Caenorhabditis elegans: one gene and its partners. The protein of the gene in region 3 purifies or fractionates together with the protein of the main gene of each other region. This does not show direct contact. Each region holds a gene or a part of one and is shown on either strand. Other genes may lie near its edges.

What was found.
Region 1: the proteins of vit-2 (region 3) and K07A12.5 purify together in Caenorhabditis elegans (affinity purification with mass spectrometry, with the first as the bait; one large-scale study listed by BioGRID). This does not show direct contact.
Region 2: the proteins of vit-2 (region 3) and nab-1 purify together in Caenorhabditis elegans (affinity purification with mass spectrometry, with the first as the bait; one large-scale study listed by BioGRID). This does not show direct contact.
Region 4: the proteins of vit-2 (region 3) and acs-4 purify together in Caenorhabditis elegans (affinity purification with mass spectrometry, with the first as the bait; one large-scale study listed by BioGRID). This does not show direct contact.

The regions. Positions count from the first base shown.
Region 1 is NC_003279.8:8,692,948-8,697,272, forward strand, and holds K07A12.5 (Pre-mRNA-splicing factor SYF2), read right to left. Parts: upstream 2,328-4,325; 5' UTR 2,198-2,327; coding exon 2,176-2,197; intron 2,133-2,175; coding exon 1,991-2,132; intron 1,939-1,990; coding exon 1,827-1,938; intron 1,712-1,826; coding exon 1,574-1,711; intron 1,528-1,573; coding exon 1,409-1,527; intron 1,363-1,408; coding exon 1,268-1,362; intron 1,224-1,267; coding exon 1,106-1,223; intron 1,058-1,105; coding exon 755-1,057; intron 709-754; coding exon 546-708; 3' UTR 504-545; downstream 1-503. Other genes in the region: asg-1 (putative ATP synthase subunit g 1, mitochondrial), read left to right, coding at 1-225, 273-443; pbs-7 (Proteasome subunit beta), read right to left, coding at 2,416-2,697, 2,775-2,886, 2,932-3,110, 3,162-3,267, 3,314-3,345; F39H11.1 (Craniofacial development protein 1), read left to right, coding at 3,660-3,758, 3,807-4,039, 4,087-4,131, 4,207-4,325.
Region 2 is NC_003279.8:4,227,993-4,235,579, reverse strand, and holds the start of nab-1 (Neurabin-1), read right to left. Parts: upstream 6,004-7,587; 5' UTR 5,912-6,003; intron 5,695-5,911; exon of another isoform or gene 5,693-5,694; 5' UTR 5,666-5,692; coding exon 5,573-5,665; intron 4,817-5,572; coding exon 4,721-4,816; coding exon of another isoform or gene 4,637-4,720; exon of another isoform or gene 4,438-4,636; coding exon 4,355-4,437; intron 4,007-4,354; coding exon 3,818-4,006; intron 3,085-3,817; coding exon 2,877-3,084; intron 2,509-2,876; coding exon 2,346-2,508; intron 2,100-2,345; coding exon 1,893-2,099; intron 1,695-1,892; coding exon 1,057-1,694; intron 868-1,056; coding exon 520-867; intron 61-519; coding exon 1-60.
Region 3 is NC_003284.9:5,099,321-5,106,690, reverse strand, and holds vit-2 (Vitellogenin-2), read right to left. Parts: upstream 5,660-7,370; 5' UTR 5,649-5,659; coding exon 4,776-5,648; intron 4,724-4,775; coding exon 4,439-4,723; intron 4,393-4,438; coding exon 1,213-4,392; intron 1,165-1,212; coding exon 918-1,164; intron 870-917; coding exon 613-869; 3' UTR 522-612; downstream 1-521. Other genes in the region: C42D8.9 (CUPID domain-containing protein), read left to right, coding at 1-310, 360-431. UniProt on the Caenorhabditis elegans protein: Precursor of the egg-yolk proteins that are sources of nutrients during embryonic development. Together with other vitellogenins, may play a role in modulating life-span, acting via induction of autophagy and lysosomal lipolysis.
Region 4 is NC_003281.10:7,166,252-7,171,503, reverse strand, and holds acs-4 (long-chain-fatty-acid--CoA ligase), read right to left. Parts: upstream 3,667-5,252; coding exon 3,613-3,666; intron 3,545-3,612; coding exon 3,398-3,544; intron 3,351-3,397; coding exon 3,261-3,350; intron 3,184-3,260; coding exon 2,404-3,183; intron 2,355-2,403; coding exon 1,397-2,354; intron 1,318-1,396; coding exon 1,151-1,317; 3' UTR 514-1,150; downstream 1-513.

The DNA of each region.
Region 1 (4,325 bases), on a different chromosome or scaffold from region 3:
ATGGCGACCCACAAGCTGAGCTTCTTCGAAAAGTTGGCCAACACCTTTGGAGCTCTTTACCGTCATCAAGCTCAGCAGTTCCCACGCCGTCTCGCTATTCTCAAGGCTGTTGGAAAGCACGAGCTGGCTCCACCCCGGTCTGCTGACATCCCAGCTATCAAGGCGGACTGGGCTAAGCTCCAGAAGTTTATTGAGACCAAGCAATATGTCAACCTTAGTATCAAGGTAATTTGTTACACGCTGAAACAACACTCAATAAAAAATAACTTCAGGAAAGTCTCGTCTACTCGGCAGTTGCCCTCGAGGTAGTCTTTTGGTTCTTTGTCGGAGAAATGATTGGACGTCGCTACATTTTCGGGTACATTGTTCCAGCCAATTATGTCTCGAAGGATACAAAGGCTAAGGTTGCCGAAAAGAAGAGACTCGCTGCCCTCGAAGCTTAATACATCGATAAGCATATTCATTTGTGAAAATATGTGTTTTTTCTTCAACGTTTGTTAGATAAAAGAAATTAAGGCTTTATTTTTCTAGTTCAATACAAAAAATTACAATCCACTAGTTTCTTCTCCAGCCTCTCGAGTGTAATCCTTCCGATCTTCCTCAAAAGTTTCAAGTGCCTTATTTTTCACTGCATACTGTCTTTTCAGAGATCGGCCTTTGAAAACATGAGAAGTGATTGTTGGAGCAAAAATGATTTGATTCGGAGCGCTAAAAATAAAACTCGTTAGAGAAAAATCAGTTTCGAAATTCTTACTCGGTCGCATCATCCTGGCTTATTGAACTTGTAGAGAGGGTTTTATCTACAGATACTTGTTTCTTGTTGAATTCAATAGTACCGTGCAAGGTATTCATGAAAACAGCATTTCTTTCACAACTCTTCTTGTATCTCGCATTAATTGATGCCAAGGACTCGGACATGATGGTGTTTGCTGTGTTGCTAGGTGGTTCTGTTATTCCAGCATGTTTAACTTTCCCCCCAGCAGTCATTGTCTCAATCAACTTTTCAGCAGTAACCGTGTACTTTCCCTCTGGATCATCGTCCAACGTCATATCCTCTCTGAAATTCAAATATTAAGATCCAACGGATGCAAGCCACGAAAATTACTCTTCGTCTTTTGCCATCCAATAAATCATCTTTCCTTTCTTCAATTGCGAACGGGAAATCGGTTGTTGATACCAACTGGCTGGGAACAGGGCTCTTTTGTCGTCAGTGGTATTCACAACTGAAAATAAACACTCCGATTTCTGTATTGTTTCGTAGTTTTACCGAATTTCTCCATCGGGGCTGTTGGCTCTAAAACTTCTTTTTGCTCCATTGTTTCCACTTTTGTTTGCTTGGGATCGACAGGGGCAGCGTATAAGCTAAAATATGATAATTTCTACATAAAACCATTCGACCCATTGAAACCTTTTCATCTGATCGTACTCTGCTTGGGACTTTTTTATGTTGTCCTGTTTATCTTTCCTTTGCTCCAAACTGATTTTCTGTTTCTTACGAAGAGCGTCCAGTTCCTTTTCACGAGCTGCCTAAAGTTCATGGTTAAAGTAAATTTCTCTATAATCTCTATGTTACGTGATCACGAATCGACACAAACTTTTTTTGTGGAGCCAAAGTGGATAAGTAGTATTCTTTCAATCGTCCAAATTCTACATCAACTTTCACTCCTTGACGATTGACAACCGTATTGGCTCGTTGCATCTTTGGATGGCGCTGAATTTCAAGAAATAATGTATTTCTTTTTAACTTTTTAGATGGATAGTAAAAACCGTAATTAAGCACTTCCTTTGCGCGGCGAGATATATATATATATATACTGTATGCTTACCACGTCTGAATTTTTCGATTTCGAAACGTATTGAGACTGCGTATGAAAGATTTCAACTACTTGCTCCTTTCGAAATTCTTCCCAATTTTTCAGTTGTTTCTGAGCATCCTTCCTGGAAACCAAATCAGATAAGTTATTACATATACATCAATTTATTTAATTACTTGTGAGTTTCATACTGATCATCACTCAGTTTATACCGCTGCTGCATCTTCTTTTTGTAGCTCATCTTCTTCGCCTGTTTCTTTTCATAATCAGATTTCTGTTTATCAGGCGATGGTGATAAACTGAGCTTTTGGAGTTTACCTGAAAGCGCTCGATTTTACTTTAAACCAAAAACTCATCATACTTTTTAAACCAGAGAAATTCATGCTCGCTATTTTTGACTCGAGCACTTGTGAAATGATGCGTGTGAATACTTAGACGTGAATAGAAGGATTAAATGGAAGTTTATTTATCGACTTCACGCGAAAATAAATAAAATTTACACCGAAAACGTGGGTTGGAGAGAGTAAAATGTTTTGAAAAGAAGGATACAAATAAGTTAAACATGGAGATACTGAAACGCATCCTGCACACCGGGGAAAACTTATTCATATTGACAGTTAGTCTCGGCAATCGACCAGTCACCAATAATCTTCTCTTCTTTACCCAAAACGACACCTTCTGTCGCATCAACACGTCCGATTTCGAACTCATTGTCAGCGACGCAGTCGTGGTAGAGAGTAAGTTCAAGCGATTTGCGAAGCACGGCTTCTGCCTCTTCACGGGAGAGGTCTTCTCCCTTCTTTCTCCACTCATCTTCAACAGCTTGGTTGAGGAGGAACGCTCCAAGTCCAGTTGCAATGTGCTTCACTTGATATGCGCATCCCTGAAATTTAGAATAATTATTATGTGATTATTTAATCATGAGATTCTGATCCGGCAAGTTAACGCTTTCAAGTTTACCTTCTGAGTAATGACACCGATGAAAGGTGTGCTAGTCTCCTTGTTGTTCTTCTCCTCCTCTTCGACTCCGGCGACAACAAGTGTGTTCCACACTGGGTTCATCTTGCAACGTCTGAAATTTTTTACTTAAACTTTCAATTTAATTAGGAAAACAGACTTGGCGTAGAGAAGGCTTGTGAGGTATCCGTGGAGAGCTTTTGGTCCAATATCCTGATCGAAGCGCTTCCAGAGAAGAACCTGACGCTCGATCACATTTTGAAGCCAGTGGAAGTCAGCGTGATCTCCTCCGAAGGCAATGAGAACATTATCATTGACCTTGTATTGACGAGAAACATTCTGGAAACAAATATTATGAAAATCCACTTTCAGCTGAACGGAAATTCAAACCTTGTAACGAGCCATTTTTCCATAGGAAACAACTCGATCAGTAAGGACAACAACCCCAGTTTTATACTGGAGAGCGATAACCGATGTTCCGGTACAAGTAGGATTCCTGAAAAATTGAGTTAATTCAAACGAATATAGGTTTAATGACTTACAGTGTGCGCTGGACTTCGTCGTGAGCATTCATTTTGGTTCTGAAACAATATAAATGAAGTTTTTGAAGGGAGTGCTTTGAAAAAATGAAAGGAAGTGAATTTCGACAATGAAATGCAAAAATGGCGGCTAAGTCATCATAAAGCATGTGCGCTCCGTCGAATTTTACACTGAATACCACGCACAATTGCGTACTTCAATAAGAAAAATTATCTCGCGCTACTTTTTTTGAGATAATATTATAATATAAATTAATTCATATTTTATAAATATATTAATTCATATTTTATTCTTTTGAATTCTCACTGAAATTGTGAAACTATTTAAAATATAAATTGTTTCAGAAAAATGACCTCGGAGCTTAAAAATAACGAAGAAGACTACAACTCATCGTCCGATGAAGATTACGATCCAACAAAGGATACCGATTTTGATCCAAAGGATGAAGTAAGCATTCCTAGATATCGCCCTTTTATTGCTCATTCTCCTCAACAGATCGATGATCAAGAAGAATGCGAAGATGGAATTGACGAAGAAGTTGAACATCTGAAAAATGAAAAACAAAGTGACGACCATACATCAGAAAAGGCAAACAGTACTGAAGGAAGTGTTGATGTGGATGCGATATTTGCAGAATTAACTGGGCTAGCACCGAAACCAGTTGTCAACGATACATCAAGCAAGAATATTCCAAAAACTGAAGAAAGGGTGTATCCAAAATCAGCAGCGTATGTTTGAAACAAGTAGAAATAACTTTTAAAAATGTATTTTACAGATCTGCATCCAACGAGTCTACAAATCAGAAGGTTTATCCGAAAAAGTGAGTTGACATGAGTTTTTATTTGATACAAATTTAAAAACAACTTTTTCTTATTTTTCTAATAATTTTTTTCAGAACGGAAACAGCTGGAACATCGTCTGAAAGTAGCATTGTACCCGGAAAGAAAAGAGTCGGCTTGCTTGATGCTGCAAAATCACTGTCGAAGCGTTCTAAAATTTCTGTTTTGGAGAAAT
Region 2 (7,587 bases), on a different chromosome or scaffold from region 3:
CATTCCTTTTACTTTCTTTTTAATTAGAGAACGATCCGAGTGATTTTGAATTCCCATTGCCTAAAAAATATTGATTCAGATAAACAATTTCAAGTGGTGTGATTTCCCAAAATTGTGGAAAATTTGAAAAAGTTGACGTCACATAAGGTTTATAGAATGCACCTATTTTAAGCCTTGTATATTCTAGGCACTTTTCAGGTAGGCAGACTGTGCCTACTAGACCTGAAGGGTTTTTGGGTTTGGCACAAGAAACTGAAAAATCAAAAACAAAAGTTCAGTCTCTCTTGCTCGAAAAGTGACATTTCTGTTGTTTTTATGAAATAGAGTGTAACATAAATATTGAATTCATTTCAGAATTTTCAGGAATCTTTTTCTCGGTTTTACCCAAAAAACCGAAAAGTTTAAAAAATTTTAGCACCTTGGTGCCTACGAAATAGTTTAACTTTTCGTTATGTAATTGCAGCGTTTTTTTTTTCTACCCGAGTTTTCTTGCGCCGGGATCGTATACATCTTACTCACCTTCAGTTTATTTCCGTCGAGCTCGAGGAACTTGGCTCCATCGATCTTATTAATGGTGAACTCTGGCACATATTTGTCCAAGCCCATTGAAACGAGCAACTGACAAACATCGTCCACCGTCCAATGAAGAGCTTGAAGACCAACTGGTTGACACGTGGCACGCCAGAACTCGTTTTCGGCGTACTTCTTTCGGAGTGGGAACAGAAGTTTGCGATGCGTCAATTTATGTGGAAGAGCCGGAGATGCTGGCTCGGAGATACGAGGGACTGGCGACTCGCATGGTGATGAGTACTCTTCTGTCCAACTACTTCCAACTGATACTTCCGCATCTTTTTTGGTTGATGGAGTCTGGAAATGAAAATGGGTGTTATAATTAGTTTCTTACTTGGGCTTAGGCTTAGTCTTAGTCTTAGGCTTAGGCGTAGGCTTAGGCTTAGGCATAGGGCCTACGCTCAAGCTTAATTTTAGGCATTATGTGAAAACTGTTTTAGAATGAAGTTTGAAGATGAATGTTCTTTCATATTTTCTCCAACTTACAATAGTCTCCAAATTAACCATAACAGCCTTATCCTCGTGAGGAAGCTCTCCACCTGGTCTATACGCCATTCCTTCATTCCTCTTCTCAACTTTCTCCTTTAACTTCTCTCTCAACTCGATAAGCTCAAGATTCTGAATAGAATGCCTTCTCTCTTCAGCTTCTTCCAATTTCGATTCCAACTCATCAATTCGTTCTTTCAATTGACGAACTAATGATGCATAATGTACATCCTTATCTCTCAATTGTTCCACATGATTCTCTTCTCGATTCAACAACTCTTTTTCTCTTTCCTGATAGTTTTTAATCATATAATTTGCCTGCTCATTCTGCTTTTCCAGTTGATCACAATGTGATTTCGTTGAGCTCAACACTTCATGATATTGCTCTGCTTTCTTATGAGTAACATCAAGTTCCAGTTCAAGAGCAGCAATCTTCGAACGAATCTCAATTTCTTCTTTTGTGATCATTGAAGTTGTCGGACGATCCTGTTCAATTGGTAGCTGTGGCATTTGAGATGGTGGTGGTGGCGGCTCTTCGATATCGTCTTCCTCGTCTCCCATCATTCTCATTCTGTCGTGTTCAAGACTTTGTTGAATTAGCTGAGCAACTTCGGATTCTTCAAGGTTTTGTTCGCGACCTGCAATACATTTTTTTTAAATTGGAAGATAACTGGTAAACATAATTGAAATATTTTCTAGATGCTTTTTTTCTCTACGCTTGCGCGGAATATGGTGTATTGAGTCGCTGTTGCACACAAAAATATTTGTGTTATTTCACGGAGTCATCAATGCAATATATCATACGCGTTCGGCACAATACTCCAAAAAAAACCAACCAATTGTGAAAGTGACTCGATTGCTGGTGGATCTCAACGTGTTTGCAGCATACAACTGTGAGACACCGACCAAACTCTTTCCATCGACTGAAACAATTTGATCGCAGACACGAATTCGTCCATCTCGATGAACAGCTCCGCCAGGTGTGATGCTCTTTACAAAGATTCCCAGCTTTTCAAGACCCGAGTCTGCACCAACACCCATACCTGAAACATAACGAATTTATCCGAAAACCGTAGGCAGGCAGAAAGCATATAATTTTTTCCTAAACAGTAGCTTCAGGTTGACATTCCTTCAAGTTTAATTAAGCGCTTATATCTCGGTTATCTTTGGTTATGCCGAGAAAAGAAAGTTTCCAACTATAAAAATGAAACAGAAACTGTGAGCAACATCCGATTGTAACCGAGATACAAGGCTTCTAAGTTATGGTAAGCCACAATACAATCACTAACCAATAATAGAGACTCCAAGTCCCTCGGCACCCTTTTCCAAATCAACTTCAAACAAATCCATTCTTTCAAGTCGTCTCTCCAATTCATATTCAGCACAACTTGCCACCGGATCAATGTCTTCATTCTTGCGATCGTAGTCTTCAACGGAAAACGCCGAGAAGACCTGAAAGTGAAAACGTTTAGATATTATGCAAATGAAGATCGCTTTCTCTTTCTCTTTTTCTCTTGTTCCTCATCTCTTATCATATCAATAAGGTGACCTAATTCGAGATTGTATAGATATATCTATTAATGAATTAATATCACCTTGCCACATATATGTAAACAAAAGGAAATGTTAGGTTGTGGTGGTCAAGTTTCAGTGAATGCATGTTTGCTCTATTGATAGTTTCAAAAAGATTTTTCTCGGCCACGTTTCAATCTGTCTTGGCCTAGAAAAAGTATAAAATTATTTTGAACATCATACATTCCATAGAGCAAACTTGCAACAACAAAGAAACATGAGTGAATGGGAAAAGTGGGTGATCTTACCGGAATAGGTGCAGTGCTGAACGAGACCTTTCGATTCGTTAAATCCACGTCAGGCCTCTCTGGACTCAGACCCCTCCGTGTTTCCATGAGTCCTCTGTTTTCTGATGTTGTTTCAAGTTCTGTTTCCTTTGGTGTTTTGACGACGGCGTATGTCGTGTGCTTCACTCCATTCGTCGTTGGTGAGATTCCATCGTTTTCCTCGCCAAAACTGAAAAAAAAGTTTTGATCGAAGAAATTTGATTATTTATATTAACAGCAACTCATTTTCATGAAATGATTGGTTTTTTCAGGTGCCTGCATATATTAAATTTACTAAAAAAACAATCTGGCGCAAATCGTATCAAATTTTTAAATTTTAAAAAATGTGAATGTCCGATAAAAAATCGGCGTTCTAAAAATATATCTAGACACACTAAATGAATTTTTATCACAAACACAGTGCGGTTTTTTAAAAACTTAAGGTTACGATAGATCCTTCATAAGCTTGCCAACAATGGGCTTGAAAAGGGTTTTTACGGTTCCAACGAGCCGATATGTGAGAAAACTCGGCCACGCTATTTTAGCAATTTCTGTAATCTTAATAGATTTTTCAAATTGAAAAATTCGAAAATTTCAAGATATTATGTGCCATCACTATTCTGAAAGATCCAAAGAAGACCGTGTTCCTGAATGAATCAAAAATTTTACTTTTAGTTTTGTACTTTGGAAAAGTCACAAGGATCTTTTTTTTAGCAAATTCAAAAAAAATCCCGAATGAGAAATCTAAGAAAATATGCTGGCCAAGTTTCTGGTTTTTTCTAGGCCACATTTTTTTTCGAAAAAACACAAATATTTGTTAGTCGCAACTAAAATACTTCAGCGCAAGAAAAAAAACTATTATAGAGAAAAATAAAGAAACTCATGCGAGAAAGTAAGAAAAATAAAAGAAGCGAAACACATACGGTTTGCCATTTCCTTCGAATTGCCTCCGATATATTGATCCATTTCTCCAATAGGGTTCAAATGAATTCATATTAATATTATTATTATTGTTGTTGGTTTGAAGTCCTCCATATTGCGACGTGGCAACCGTATTTTCGAACGAATACTGCTGTGTGGAATCGGAATATGATGACGGAAGAGTTGATGATCTGAATTGGAAAAAGAAAAGGCATGCGAAGCTGATAATGAAGCAAAGAAGAATGTTAGTTGAAATTAAAGAAAAAACAGAGATTTTGGTTTTTTTTTCGATTTGAAAATTCAAAAAAGTTCCTTTAAAAAAATTCTCAACTAATTTATCTGAATTTCGCACAGTTTCCTAGAATTTCTGAAATCTAGTTGCAGGCGACTTTTTGTAACTACCAAAAAAAATTAAAATACTTTGGCCCGCGAACCGAATGGAGAAAATTGCGATTGATCAAAAAAAATTACAGTTACATTTTTTTGAGAATTAAAAAAAAGTTATGGTATGGTAACAAATCCTTAAAAAAACAACTCACTTATTTTGTATAAACCTAGACGTTGCCGGCGATGATTGGATCCGATCGAGATCCGCGGCCAAATCAGAGAAATTTCGTTCGACCTGGAAAAGTTTTCGAGTTTTCGATTATGTGTTATATGCGTGTGTGTCTGATGGGGGAAAGGAGTGTGTGTGTGATATGAGTAAATGCCATTATTTTTGAATCTATTATCGATGAGCGGATTAGTCAACCGAACAGTATAACAGAGACGGGGGTGTTGGAGACACAAAACATTGACTAACTGACACAGTCTTTGAATTTTTAAATTCCATTTCTTTTTCCAGAAAACAGAAAGAGAAGGAGAGAGAGAGAAAGAGAGCCATGTGATTGTTTGATCACACATACCTGTGACATCGGACTCGGCGGACATTGAGATGGAGGTTTTGGGGGTAATGGAGGTGGTGGTTGACGTTGAAGACGTGGAGAGTAGAATGATGGAACCTAGAAACATTATTTTTTAATTGACACTACAGTAGTCTGCTTGCCCAATTTAGAGTTTGTTTTGGAAAAAGCGTGGCGGGCATCTGATGTTTGAAAAAGTTAGCTTACTATTAGCTCAGAAGTTGGCAAAATTTGGGCAAGACTTTGAAAATACTGGGTTTAAGCTGTGTTTAACAAAACTTGAGTTATAAATATGGTAGAAGTCTAAATCAAGTCGACAGTGTTTCCAACTTTTGACCCAAATTAATAATTGTTGAGCAAAACTTGATCATAGGGAAACCTCTTTTTCAGACATTTTTCAGACGTGACGTCAAATTTCTTAAACGTGAGGCTGTGAAGTGATACAGAAACTGGTAGTCAGAGTATCTCTTTTCCGAATGATCTCCGAAAACTTCGCCAAATTTAGACGCAGACTTTTCAGCTGGTGATCTAAAGAGCGGGGACGTCATACTTTTTCACTTTTCCTGTGAGCAAAATTCCAGCAATTTTCATAGATCAAATCAAGAGAGGGGACTTATTCTTTGAAGGCCTAAGTGAAGAATCTACTAGCAGGCAAAACTTGTTCATAGGGAGCTACAGATTTGATCTATATAGCCAGGAAAATCATTTTGCGAAAAATTGCATAAAAATTCTGGAATATATGCTCTAATCCACAATTTAGTGAGTTTTTTCAAGAAAAATAAATAACCGTAATGCAAAATAGCAAAATGATTTCAAAATTCGGAAACCAATTATTATCATCCAAAAAAAACTCACGTCTTGCTGTCTCTCAAGCTGCTCAAAAAGAGCCTTTGTATGTGAGAATCGAGCTCTTGCGTCGTCTGACAGCAGCTCGGAAGCCGTTGTCATCTCGGCTGTTTGGATTGAATTAGGCAGCTGTAAAATTGAATTTTTCAAAAGGTGGAAAGGTTGGGGAGCGGATATAATTCGTATCAGTTTAGGGGAACTGAGGAGCGAACGGGCGGTACGGGAAAGGGTGTCAATATCCGAGGATATTGCATAACCTTAACAATAAAGGACCGTTTTGCGCGCATGTCTTCTCCGGTTGGAATGACCTGAAATGATATTCCCCCGTGAGATTTGTCTGCGACTCACCGTCTCGCACACTATTTTGTTATCAGCAGCGGTGCGCACGACGCATGCACCGCCCACTTGCTGTTGTTGTTGTCCCGGCGACGTCTTCTTTTCTGAAGAGATTTTCAATTTCAGAATTGATTAGAATATTTCCGAGGCTTGGAGAAAAGAAGAAGAAGAGGAATGACAGAAGGATTTACGGGAAAGTGAAAATATCTATTTATTCATAATTATATTCTTTTTCGTCTCCCGGGTGATAACTGTGATAAGGATCAGGTTTTTGGGCACCGGACGGGGTGGTTGGATGAGGACTAATTGGATTGCGTTCATTTGTGTGAAGAAGGAAAAGCGAAATTCGGATTCAGAGCGGAGGCAAGAGGAAAGTGGAAGAAAAAAGGAGATTAAAAGGGAAAAGGTGCCAAAAAGTATAGAGAGTCTAGACTCGATATAATCAAATCAATTATTGAATTAGAATTGTCGCAAAAATCAGAAATTTCGCAAATAATTCTGGGGATAAAAATTTAAAGTTAGATCACAGATACGAGGTGTTCCTAGACGTAGGAAGGCACCTCTTATTCGCCTTTCTACTCGCCCTATCTGAACCGCACAGCCGAACCATTTTTGAATTCAATTATCAATTCGCCATATTTTACGGTACATCAGTGCAAATGCGCTCTACATTGATCCAAAAAATTAGTATTTTTGAATACTTTTTTTGAAGTCACGAAATTGGACCACCGATTTTTTGGCCCAAAAAATTTAACCAAAAAAAAATAAGCTCAAACTTCAGGGTATCAGATAGGCAAATTTGACCGTGAGGGTGTCGGCCAATAAGGTTTGATGTTTGAATTTATTTTTCAACTAAATCTTATTTTGAAATATTAGGAAAACAAAATGTTCTACATATCCTTAAAATCCAAAAAAAAATCAGAGATGAAGGAAAGTATGTTTTTGATGAAAAATTCTCAAACACCCGACATTCATCAATCATCACAGAACGGGGGCTCTCAATCTTTGTTTTTTTCCTCACTTTTCTTTTCACATATTTATTTTTACAGATATAAAATTAAAAGTGTCCATTCTAAGAAAAGATTTTTTAGAATGAATGAAGGAAATAATGAGAAATGAGGATGGAATTGAGCATGTAAACATGACGACGAGGGAGGCTATAGATATATTTACGGACTGGCAAAAAATTGGAAAAATATTTACTTGGAGCCAGAAGCTTTTGGGAAATGAGTGTGAAAAATATGGAAAAATCTGGAACAAATAGCAATACTTTTCGAGTTTTCTTTCAGCATTCTAGATAAGTTTGCAAATAAAAAACCCAGCTTCTATACTGGAGGGTGTTCTTAAATTGACGAAGGTTGCTGAAATTGGCTGAATTTAAATTTTCCGAGCGCAAATTGTTTCAGGTGGGAATATATTTTCAAGCCTTTTTTATTGCTTTGGCTACTATTGATTTGAGTACTACATTTTCAGTTTAAAAAAAACTGTCAAAAAAATTCTGCAAAAATCAATTTTGGAATTTAAAATCTCTAAACTTGCAAAAAATATGCTGAAAAAAATTTTTAAAATTCAAACTCTGATTTTTTTCAAGTTCCAATAAACTTTGAACTTTTAAGAATAAGAAATGTCAAGAAACTGACGATGTCTACAAAAATAAACGAGCCGGAATGAAAGTGCGCAACGGGCTG
Region 3 (7,370 bases):
CACCAGTATTGATGAAACGACCGACCTTGATCAGCTAACGATTTCCCGCCCAACGGCTGTTTTTGCGGAAACTGGAAATATCTCACTAGATGGCACAAGCCAGACGGTCCAAAGAGCATCGATGTCCTCGCCGGGTAGTGTCACAGTGGTTTCATCTCCGACGATTGGTGTTTTGGCGGCAGCCCCTACAGCGATTGGTGCGTTGATGGGAGCATCTCCTGGCGTTGGAGCTTTGGTCGCTGCAGCTCTTAATCCTGTTCAACAAAACCCTTCGGAGAAAGAGGATCCTGATGGTGGTTCTCTTAGTACTGTTGGTTATAATTTCCGGTTCTTTCAAAGCATAGACTAGCTTTTTTCAGGACTTTCACGTTGTACACGACGAACTGAAACACGCTATGGCATTGGACAAATCTATCAAACGGCACTGCTAGCGACGCTATTTGTATAAATATTTCCTTCATTTCAATTTTTTTTCCAATTTTCAGTAATGCAATTTTTTTAAAAAGAATAAAACAATAGTTCAAAGTGAAAATTTTATTTAGAAAATGTCAAAAGACTACAATCAAACAGATGTGAATGATCAATTTACATAAAAGTGCCGGTCTAGCTTAATCAATAAGCGACGCAGGCGGTTGGGACCTTGACAGACTCAACGAAAGAGACTGGGTAGTCGTCAAGTTGGAGTGGCTGTTGGCGAGACTCCTTCAAGAGACGGCTGGCATCTCTGTTGTGACGTTGCAAGCAGGTGAAGCGGATCTTTCTCTGTTGTTGCTGCTCGACCTCGTATCCGCGGCGGCACTCGGCTACTGGCTCAACGGAGAAGCAGATGCGGTGGGAGAACTCCTTGATTTGTGTCTTCTCGACAAGATCTTAAATTAAAAATTATCGATATGAAATTTGAAGAAATTGTATCTTACCGGATTTCTTCTGGCTTCTCTGGTTCTTCTGGCTCTTCTTGGTGTTTTCCTGCTCGTAATCGTAGGTCTCCTCAGATGAATACTCATCAGATTGCTCCTCGTCTCTCTCGTACTTTCTGTAGTTCTTCTTCTCGGAAAGACGCTCCTCCTCGGCTTCGCACTCCTCGTTCTTGAGAAGGTATGAGCGGTGAAACTCTTCGATGTCTTCGGTTTCGGTGTTATCGGAAGTGTAGAACTCGTTGGTGGACTGAAAATTTTTGTTATAACTCAATATAAATTTCTACACTGAACTCACCTCATCATCATTGTTTCCGCAAAGTCCGCAAAGTTGATTCTTGCGGCTGTAGGATGGAAGTTGGGTCTTGATGGTGTATCCGTCAAAGCGAACCTCTCCTTCTGGAAGCTCAATAACAATAGCGGACTCTCCGAGTCTCTCGATTTGGTAAGCAGAATAATCCTCAGATTGGATCTTCTTTCCGTCAACCTTAACGCGGATCTCCTCGTTCTGGAGTTGGGCAACAATTTCTTGTTCTCCACGGATAACCTTGATGATCATCTCTTCAGAATTCTTTTCAGTCTTCTTGGAGAGAACAGCGAAAGTTGGCTCCTCGGAGCAATCCTTGGCGATAAGAGAGTAGCAGGTGGTGAGTGGAGTGTTGTAAAGGACATCATCGAAAGTGCGGATTTGGTTCTTTTGCACCTTGCAGACAGATCCGGAAGCCTCAGTAAGTTGGTGCTTGACGGAACGTTGAGCAATGGATGGAAGGTAGACACGTGGAACTTGAACGTTTTTGAGCTCAATGCGCTCCATTGGGGATTGCATGGTGATGTTGACGTATTGGCGGGACATTGGCTCAACTGTGAGTTGGACGACGACGCGATCATTCTCGTTGTTCTCTGGGCGGCTCGAGACAGTCCAGTAGTTGTAGGTCTTAACAAGATCGAAATAACGGGCAAGAACTTGTTCGGTTTCACGGGTGAGCTTGTACTCAGCAACAGCGTTGATCTGGTTAAGACGGGCGGCCTTGATCAAAAGCTCGTACTCTGGCATTCCATTGAATTGACGGTCCATGTTACGCTCGTATTTCTTCTGTTCTTTGGATTGTTGGAGTTGAGCATTGACGGTGACTTCGCTCTTCTTCTGGGATCCCCAGGTAGAGGTAAGAGAGAGTTGAACCTCACGGTGGGGTTGATCGCGGAGTTGACGGAGGGATGATGGCATCTCTGGGCGGACAACAAGAAGTTGGGAGCGGAGAGTCCATTCCTTGGTTTCCTCAAGGATTGGGGAGCGGCGGATTTCAACTTCCCATTGGCACATGCGGACTTGCTTGTCACAGACGGTGGTGAGCTCGGTGTTCATGGTGTAGTCACGTGGGGCCTCAAGTTTCAAGGAGATGACGGATTTGTATCCTTGCTCCTTCTGGATGTTCTTGACCATCTTGTTGAAGTACTCACGGCGGCTCTCGGTGTTCTCTTGTTCGAGCTCGAACTCCTTTTCGAAGATCTTGTTGTACTTGATTTGGGAGAGTTCGGTCTTCTCGAGTTGTCCAACGGTGAGACGGGCAGTGAATTCGGCTGGACGGTTCTTGTTCTCAACGGAAACCTCGAAGTCTTGCTCGGCAAGAAGCCAGTTTTCAAGAGTGTGTTGGTTGAGGATGTTTCCGCGGGTGGAGACTTCAAGTCCGAGGAAGTTGAAGACTTTCTCAATTTCCTGAGTCTTTTGTTGCCATTGTGGAACAACGACGGTTCTCTCTTCAGCCTCAATGTATTCGAACTTCGAGAATCCTGGGAAACGAAGGAAGACAACTGGGCGAGTGGTGAGGGAGACGATCGATTTTTGGTTCTCTGGAACGACAACCTTGTAGACGATTTCGAAGTTTCTCTTCATTCCAGCGACGGCTTGAATCTTGATTGGGGTGTAGGCGCGGACGGATTGAACGCTCTTGACTCCTTGCTCGAAGAGTGGGGTGAACATTCTCATCTCGTAGACGTGGGTGGCAGCAACAGATGGGCGAGCCTCAACGGTCAAACGAAGTTCCGTTCCCTCGAGTTCAAGAGAGAATTGTCCTTCAGCCGAGATGACGGTTGGGATCTTTCCAGAGATGGTGAGTGGAAGCCCAAGAGTTGTTGGGAATTTGCGGATAGCTTCGTAGAAGTAAGCGGCATGGTGCGTCTCGAACTCGAGCTCTTGGTTGAGAAGACGGCGGATTTCGCTGAACTGAACCTTTCCGTTGCTGGTGAACTTCTCGATAAGATTCTCAACAAGTTGTCTGTCAATTGGAAGGAAGGCGTAGTCCATGTCCTTGTAACGAAGGTAGACCATGGCGAAGGCATCCTTCTCGGTGTAGGTAGCTGGGCGAGCACGGATGTTCATTTTCTGGGCAAGTTCCTTAAGAAGCTTGATTCCAGTTTGAATACGGCGTCCGCGAACAACAGTGGTCGACTCCTTCTCGAGGCTTTCGAGTTTCTCAAGAGCCATCTGAACATATTTGTCCATGTGCTGCTGAGAGAATCCGATTTGGGCAAAGTACTTGTTCCAGTTTCCTCCGAAGACGGCATCAAGAGAAGCGTGAAGATCCTTTGGCAAGAAAGAGTTCTTCTCGAAGATAGCGGCAAAGTCAAATTGAGCTCCAGAGAAGGAGTTTTGAAGGAAGAGTGGAAGTTGAGCGTAGGAGGAAGCGATCATTTGTTCTTGTGGTTGATAACGAGTGAAGGAAAGAACCTTTGAGCAAACGATAGCAACACGTTGGTAACATGGGTTGGTGGACATGGCAAAGTGACGGATCATCTGGTGGGTAAGAGCAGCAACTTGTTGGTTGGTCTCCTTCTCCATTTGGGAGACAACTTGGACGAGGAGGGACTCTTCTGGGCGGGTATGCATCATTCTCCACAAAGCAAGCATGCGGATCTCTGGCTCGTATTGTCTGTTCTTGTAGATTGGGAGGAGTACCTTTTGGATCTTGCGTGGCATGGTGTCCTTAAGAAGTCTGAGGGCATCAATGGCTTCCTTGCGGACTGGGAGTGGTTGGCGCTTATCAACAATGATCTCGTTGAGTTGGTTGACGGAGATGTCGAGTCCAGCGTTTCCGATGGTCTTGAGGGCCAAAATCTTCTCGTAGGTGGTCTCAGCATCCTTGTATTGTTGCATGAATACGCGGAGGAACTTCTCCTTGAGCTCACGCTTGTCCTCACGAACGAGTGGACGGATGTTCTTGTAGTCAACAATTCCGCGGACAACTGATCCAGCGGCGAGCCAAGCAGCTTGACGGACAACCAGGTTGTTCTTGGCAACGCGAGACTCGGCGAACTTGATGAGTGCCTCAGCGATGCTTTGGGATGGGAATGGTGTCTCTTGGATGGTCTTAAGAATTTGACCGAGTGGGAGAATGTCCTCGTTTTCCATGTGAACAAGGATGTGTTGAATTGTGTTCTTGGTTCCAGCAATAGCAAGAGCGTGCTCCATCAATGATTGGATCTAAATATTGCAAGGTATAGGATATAATGAAACTGAAATTTTTTACCTTCTTGTCAGCCTTGACGTAAAGAGTCTCGTGGATCTCCTTAAGTTGGGAGGTGGAGGTGGTGCGGAAAATGCGGACAAGACGAGCAAGGAAGTGGGAGGTCTCTGGCATGTTGTTCTCGACTTCTTGGATTTGCTCAGTGATAGTCTTGATCAAGTGCATCTTCTTGTCGAGTGGGAACTTCTCGAATGGGGCGAACTCAGCCTTGTCTCCATTCTTGAAGAAGTCCTCAACGAGTTGCTCCCAACGGGAAGAGTAGATGATGCTTTCCTTCTCTCCATTGACCTGAAAGAATATTTTTCTGAGAACATACTGTAAAAATTATAGATTATCGTACCTTCTTGATGTGGCTCTTGATGGAGTGGTTCTCCTCAAGAACGAGCTTTGAGCGGGTTTCAGTCTTCATTACTTCTTGTCCGTTGACGTTGACAGTGTAAAGGGAGCGGACCTCGGATTCCTTAAGCTCTTCGTTCTCCAAAACGTAGGTGTAGACAGTTTGTGGGCGGATGAGCTCGGTGTCCTTCTCGCATTCTGGGCACTCGGAAGAGTAACGAAGTCCGTAAGCGATCTCGGAACGTTCGGTGCACTTATCGAAGTTGATGGACTTGGTGATGATGGTCTTCTTCTGCTCACGGATGACAGTGTAGGCGACTTGGCAGTCTCCTTCAAGGGTCTTCTCGTTGGTGAAGAAAGAAGTGTTTTCCTCAGATTGTTCCTCCTTGTCATAAGAAGATTCGATCTTCTCAATCTCGTTTCTTGGAGCAATTGGGTTGAAAGAGATCATGTTGACAACAGCTCTCTTCATGTTCTTTGACCATTCAGCGTCTTCCTTGTCAAATTGGAGCTCGGAGATAAGTCCATTTCTGAGTTGAGCACGGAGTGGGAGTTCGAGCATTTGCTTGTACTCCTCGGAGAGCTCGCGCTGCTCCATGGAGTTCAAGGAAGGCATCTGCTCGGACTCTGGGAGGTGGGAAGCGGCCATGCGGATGTTGACAAGTTGAAGGTGGATGTAGCGGTCATCGACGGCTTGAATGCGGGCACGTGCAGAAATACGGGATTGGGAAAGCTCAGAGGAAGCGGATGGGAGTCCGGAAAGGACGAGGCCATCGAACTTGTAGTGATAGTCAGTTTTTGGCTCGAAGGTGCGCTCGAAAGCTGGAGAGGAGGCGAGGGCCAAGGCCACGAGAGAGGCGATGATGATCGACCTCATGGCTGAACCGTGATTGGACTGTTTTCAGTGCACCTTTATATACGGCTAAAGATTGACATATGTTCGATTGACTTCATATGGAAGTTATAGCGTTTTAGCGCATTGATAAGCTCATTGATGGACACATTCAAGCATTCGCTCCGCTTTGTGACCCTTATCAGAAACAAATTGCAACATTCGGTGAGAGCCCTGTCTATTAATTTTGAATGAGGGGTTCTAAACATATAACTAAATTGTTTCAAGTAATACAGTTTGATCACACTGCACTTTGATACTCATGACTTTTTAACGATGAGGTGATTCTGGACATGATGAAACTCAGCTAGCACATGGTATTTAAAACAAAGTCATTACTTTTTTACTTGCTAGTTGCATTGTGACCGACAGGATAGAAAAATCTGCAAAAAAAACTTGGTAAAATTGTATTGTAGGCACCTAAAACGCAACCAGTTTTCCTCAATTGGGCACACAGGATCACAAAAACTAAAACTGAATCCAAAAAAATATGATAGAACTAACAAATGTTAAAACTTAAAACAACTAAACATTAAAAACCCAATTATTCACAAACTTCACCAGATGTTTTGACATTATTCTAACTTAACATTAATTGTACGTCTAGCAAAAATCTGATTAGTTGGAAATCCGCGGCATCCCTAAAACTTTTTCATTTTCCAGTGTTCTGCGTATTATTCGGTTGTCAGTAATTCCCAAATCTGGACTATAAGGTCTCACAAACGTCCGGTACTGTGATTGTGTGTTAATTGTTTCTAAATTAACTTGAATTCACCATTATTTATTTGTAACTTATAAGAAATCTGTTTTGTTTGTATTTTTTTTTTACTTCCCGTTCAGAAAGTCGACTATTTTTGATCAAGTACTTTATGCCACGAAAACCAATATCACGCTAGTTGTTGAAATCGACAACGCCGCTGGGGTGGTCGCTGCGCACTTGGCGAATCCGCAACACAGGAGAAAAGATTGGATAGTCAAATGACCCAGAAATGTCCGTGGAGGAATATAGCAGTCTCGGCGGTGTACGACGCGACGGAATTCGGATGTAGGACAGAGACTCCTAGTAAGAAGGAGGAGGAGGGGGGTCCTTTCCCGAAAAACACTCCCTATTCTTTCTTCCTTCCCTTTCGGTTATCACTCCACACTTGTTGATGTCACAACCGATCCGGACATTCAACCCGCACCGATTGCCTGTGTCTCCATTTCCAAGGAGAAGTGTATCTCCGATATATACAACTTTCATATTTATTTCAAATGTTTGAACTATACAGTTTATGATATTTTTGGTTCAAATGGTTTAATTCCAAAAACGGAACCATTAGTTAATACGTTTTTGTTGTTCCTGTTTGAATTTTTTGAGCCTTTTCCTATCAATTACTTTTTGAAATCTAACAGAAATTTTGAAACCAAATAACTTTTTCATAGTCCTCTCAGATTTGCTTCGACGTCTCAGCTTTTCACAATACTCATAGAATAAGTAATATAATTTATCAAAAGAAACAGTTGTGATAATAATTAATGTGTTTCAACGGTATTTGTAAAATATCTGTAGTTTATGTTTGTAAAACAATTTTGTATATATGTTTCGGCTCACTTAAGCTTTCTAGGCCAATTTCAGGCGTTTTAGACTCATTTGTAGGCTTATCGGGCTGTTAGGTAGGATAGTCCCTATAAAATAAGTTGAATAATGTTTTGGAATAAAAAACG
Region 4 (5,252 bases), on a different chromosome or scaffold from region 3:
TTACCTTTATTTTTTAAAGGTTTTATCCCAACATTAAAAATGTGTACAATAATTATCAAATTTTCAGTTTAAAAGATAAAGGAAAGATGAGGACTAAAAATTCCAGTCAATCAAGGCTTCTTCAATTTTCTACTTCTACGTGAAAACTCTCGCCTGAAAAAGTAAGTTTAAAGCTCACAAGTAATATAAAATTACTCTTCCGTTTGAAATTAACCTGCATGATTTATTCCAATTAAAATGAAAAATCAATTTCAAAACAAACTGTCATTAGAGCCCCTCTTGCAGCTGATAAATTTATTGGATCATCAATCAATAATCCACCAAAATATCTCGATAGAATAGTAAGTGTTGTATATGTTCCAAAAAAGATATATTGATCTTCAAATGAAGATTTCTTCTTTGTTTTGTCTATTCTTGTTCTAGGCGTCACAGGAATCGCTCATCTTCGAACCAATGACGTTGAAAGATGGTCGATCAACGACTAGTGTGTAGATTCAGTACAGAAGATCATTTATCAATCTTTTTTATTTCACATCTGTGTGTGACAATACAAGGATGGAATCAAATAGATGTTTTGGGGAGAAGGGACGAGATAAATAGAAAAAGATGGGGGAAAATGTGTGTATTTCTGTGTCGGTGTGAAAGGAACAACCCATTTGGCAAAAACAAACTATTGATCGAATGAATTTGTAAAAATTGAAAATCTATCTTAACACCCTTGAAATCTCGATGGATTTCATTGAAAAACAAAAATGTTGTCAGCATTTTCATTTTTGAAAACAATCTACCTAATTTTCAGGGGCGACCAAAATATAAAGCGTTTGGATGTTTGGGGAAAAGGAATCAGGGGCTCTAGAAAGAATAAGTTACGAATAGGTACGATGTGTGAAAAACAAGTTAGAAAAGCTCTTTGATGGTGGAAAGGGAAGGAGAATACGGGAAAGAGTAGCATGAAACACGAATCTTTACAGAATAGGAATGAAACCTAAAGCTTCCGGTATGAAAGCTAACAGATTATGCTGCTATAAATGAGGGAAGTATACAAAAGAGATGGGAATCCAATATCGAGTATCTCGAATAGGTGGGGAAGAGCAAGTTACCAGTGTGAAAAGGGCGGGAAAAGAAAAAAAGAAAGCTAGGAAGACATGAATCAATTCTTTTTGAGCTGCTTATACAGATCATCGAGGGTCTTCTGGTAGGCCATTTGGATAGGCTTTCTCTTCAGCTTGAGTGCTTCGGTAAGAAGGCCAGTGTCAGGAGTCCAAATCTCGGGGCAAAGATGAATCGCGGCTGGGATTTCAGAGCGGGAAAGTTTGCCTGAAACAATATACATTTTTAGGGAACCACAATTTAATTATTTTAAACATTAGAACGTTCATAATTTCTCAAAACTAACTTTTCTTGGCATGTTCTTCGAGTTGTTTCTTGTAGGCAGCAATGACCTTCTTATCTTCACACATCGTCTTCATTTCACTAGTTGATACACCTTCCGCTTCAGCAATCTTCTCCAAGTGCTTCTGGTTTGGAACCACAAGAGCAACAACACTGTCTTCCATTCCACTTCCATAAACGCAGATGTTATCAACAATTGGGCAATTGAGAAGTGCACATTCAACTTTAGCGAGAGAAACATATTCTCCGTGTTGCAATTTAACCAAATCCTTCTTTCTGTCAATAATGAGAAGAGAACCATCATCACGCTTCTGTCCAATATCTCCAGTGGCAAAGTACACTTTTCCTTTATAGGTGATGAAATCTTCAGCGGTCTTTTCTGGTTGTTTATAATATCCAGGTGAGATGTTTTCTCCAGAAATAAGAATCTCTCCTTGTGGTGGATCATTGAATGGTGAGTATCCACCTTCGGACCACTCACGAAGAGCAATATCTGAGCATCTGACTGGGGGACCAACGGTTCCTGTGCTCAAGTCGTTGATATCAGCAACACAAGCAGCTCCACAAGTTTCTGTGAGTCCGTATCCTTGAACAACAGGGCAGCACATACAAATATTCATGAATCTTTGAGTTTCAGCGTTCAATGGGGCTCCACCAGACAAAACACCACGAAGTTTTCCTCCCAAAAGTCTGCGAATCTTTTTGAATACGATGCGATCAAGGAATGGACTGCAGTAACCCTCCAAATAGCGGGATCTCTTTCTCTCATAATTAAGTTTGAACAATTCTTGCATGAAACGAGGTGATGCAGCAACTTCTTCGGAGACGGCCTTGAAAATTCGATCCATAATAGCTGGAACAGCAGCCATAAGAGTTGGGCGGAGGGCATGACAATCTCCATGTGTTCCCTTTTGGATTTTTGATGCACGGTCGTGAAGTGTCAAGGGTGAAGAATATCCAACCTTAAAATAAATGGGTAAAATGAGTTTTAAATCCAATAAAAATTCTTACCTTGGCTCCTTTAGTCAAACATGTCAATTCGGCATCCAATTCGAGAATATGAGCAAGTGGAAGATACCCAATGTATGTATCTGCATTGCATATGATTCCAACACCATCCCCTTGTCCCAACAAAGCAGCCACAACGTTTTGATGAAGAAGAATAACTCCTTTTGGCTGACCAGTTGTGCCAGAAGTGTACATGATGAGGGCAATGTCTGACTTCACAGCTGTAGATTCTTTAACTTGTTCCTGATTGCGAGTAAGAAGTCCGCTCAGTGATAGAACATGTTTGAACTGATCACGGAACGGTGCAAGCTCTGGTGCTGGTGCTTTCTGGTCCACAGGAGCGAAATAAATCAGGGTCTTCAGAGTTGGACATTTCTTTCCAAGCGTTACAATCTTTGGAAGAAGTTCCGAAGAAGTGACAAGAATTGTAGCTTCAGTCTCTCCGATGGCATGAGCAATTGCGTCTTCTCCCAAAGTTGCGTATACAGTTACGATGGTGACGTTGGCACGGAAACAGGCAAGAGCAGTGATGAGCCAATCTGCACGAGTTTCAGCAAAGATAACAACTTTCGGATTTTGTTCTTCATGGGCAAGATCCTTGATACCGGCTGCGAGGCGGGCGACTTGAGTTTCAACTTCTTTGTAGCTCTGCCACACATACTCTCCAAGATGCCACTTCTCAAACACACGGCCTCCAGGTTGTTTATCTTCGTGAACTTCAATAAGCTGTCGAGTTCCCAAACATGGCGATTCATCGTAGAGTTCGACGCACTTTCTCCAAACCTAAAATTTAAAGCATGAAATGTGCTACTTCAGCTTTTATCGAATTCTGCAATGCAGATCTTTGCACACTTGCCTACCTTATCAACTGTGTCTTTTCCTGGGAATGTTTCTGAAGCATGTCCTTGAATATTACGGATTGGTCCATCACGATCGTCAACCCAATTTGCCTGAAACAGATAATACGGATAAATTAATATTAAAAGTATTGACAAACCTTTACTCGCTCCGACTTCCGAAGCTTTTCCGTTGGCGAATTGAACAACTGGTATGGCAAGTAGTTGAGACAATCGTATATGAAAAACCACACACGAAGGATGGCCATAGCTACACGAATCCATATTGGTGATTCACCTTTCACTACCTGAAAATAGAACTTGTTGGAAACTTTCAAACAAAAAATCGTAAAATGTCCTAAACAAAAACACGAACCTGGCCGAGTGTCTTATCCTTTGAAGAATCGTATACCGAAACTTTCCGTTTCATCTGTAAATAACGAAAATTAGAAGAGATTATTCTAAAGAAAAATGGGAAGAATGTACAAGACCGTGACGCATGGAATAGAGAATGTATATAATATGATATGTATACAGAAGCAGCATTTCTACAGTTTTGGGAACATAAAGAACAATTTTTAATTCACGATGAGCAAAATTGCTAGACAAAAAATTACGAGAATTGCGAGAATAATGCAAGAAGGGAAAATATATTTCTGTGCAAATATTTGACAATTTTTTTTCTCATCTTCTCCCGTTCAGAGTGCAGCCTATTTGTCTTACATCAAAAAGTCCAATAATTGTTGCAGTTTTTGCGACGTTCTTTTTAAACATTATTATGGTTAGCTGCCGATGAAAAAGAGGAAACTACATTATGTCTTTGACGGAACTCTTGATAGCATCATTTTTATAAAGTTGGAGGTGTTTCGTTTCGGACTGCAAAAGCAGAAAAAAGGGAAAACGGAAAATCGTGCTGATAAGGAAAAAACCTCAAAATAATTCCGGCATGAAAAGTCACCACGAGTTTTAAATCGTAGTTTGATTATTGTAAAATGTTAAAATTAAAAAAAAAAGTCTTAGACAGTTATTGTTGTAAAGTTAACAGCCTTCAATCTCTGGACGAAAACAATTCCTCGTCTTATCAGCATCAGTAAAAATAATATCATTATCAGGTGTTTTGCGTTATCAAATCAGTGAAATGTCGTTCGCGGTAACAATTAAGAACATGCGGAAGATGTATCGTGTTCACAATTTTCACCGTAAAAATTTCGAATGGAAAAAAGAACTGTCCGAAACAAATGACGTCTCCTTCTACATTCTGCGTGGCAACATCGCAGTTCTTCACAGGAAAAGAGAAAGAGGAGGAAAACTGCACACGCCCGTATTCTTTTCCTCTTCCTCCCTCTTCTTCCACTCTGTTCTCTCAGTTTTTTTAAACATAGGAGCGGCTCCCCTCACTCCCCATCTATTCCGCGCAGTCGTGAGACGCAGACAATGCTAGGAATGCATAGATGAACGCTGAGTTGGAAGCGGAGGTCTTTCTGCGCACACGAGTAGAGACAAAACAGAGAAAGCAACTCAGAACATGGCGCGAGATTCGGATATGGCACCACTTTTGACCTCAAGAGGACCAACAAGCTTTAAGAATAATTGTTACATTCGAGTTACATAAGTTTATACATTTAAATGTTAAGTAAGCCTTATTTTCAGAAATGCTTGCCTAAATCAGAAAAAAAACAACAGCGAGAAAATGTTAAAATGAACGTCTGGGAAAACTATTTTTTGTGATGAATCATAAGGATGGGCTGTAGAAAAAGGAAATTAAATTTTGAGAACGCGGTTTTCCTAGAAAATCATCTATAATAGTTGGACATTCAATCTAAATGGAAACAGTTAGAGAAATACTAGAATTATTCATATTGTCAAGATATTCGTCAGCCGTTTTAAATCTAATTACACGCCACCGAGGAGATACGCGACTGAAACCCTGTGGTTGCGTATTGGGTGACAGGGTACTCTTGGTGGAGGGATTAGGACAGTGTATTGATTGAAATGGGGTAATATCATACAAAAAGT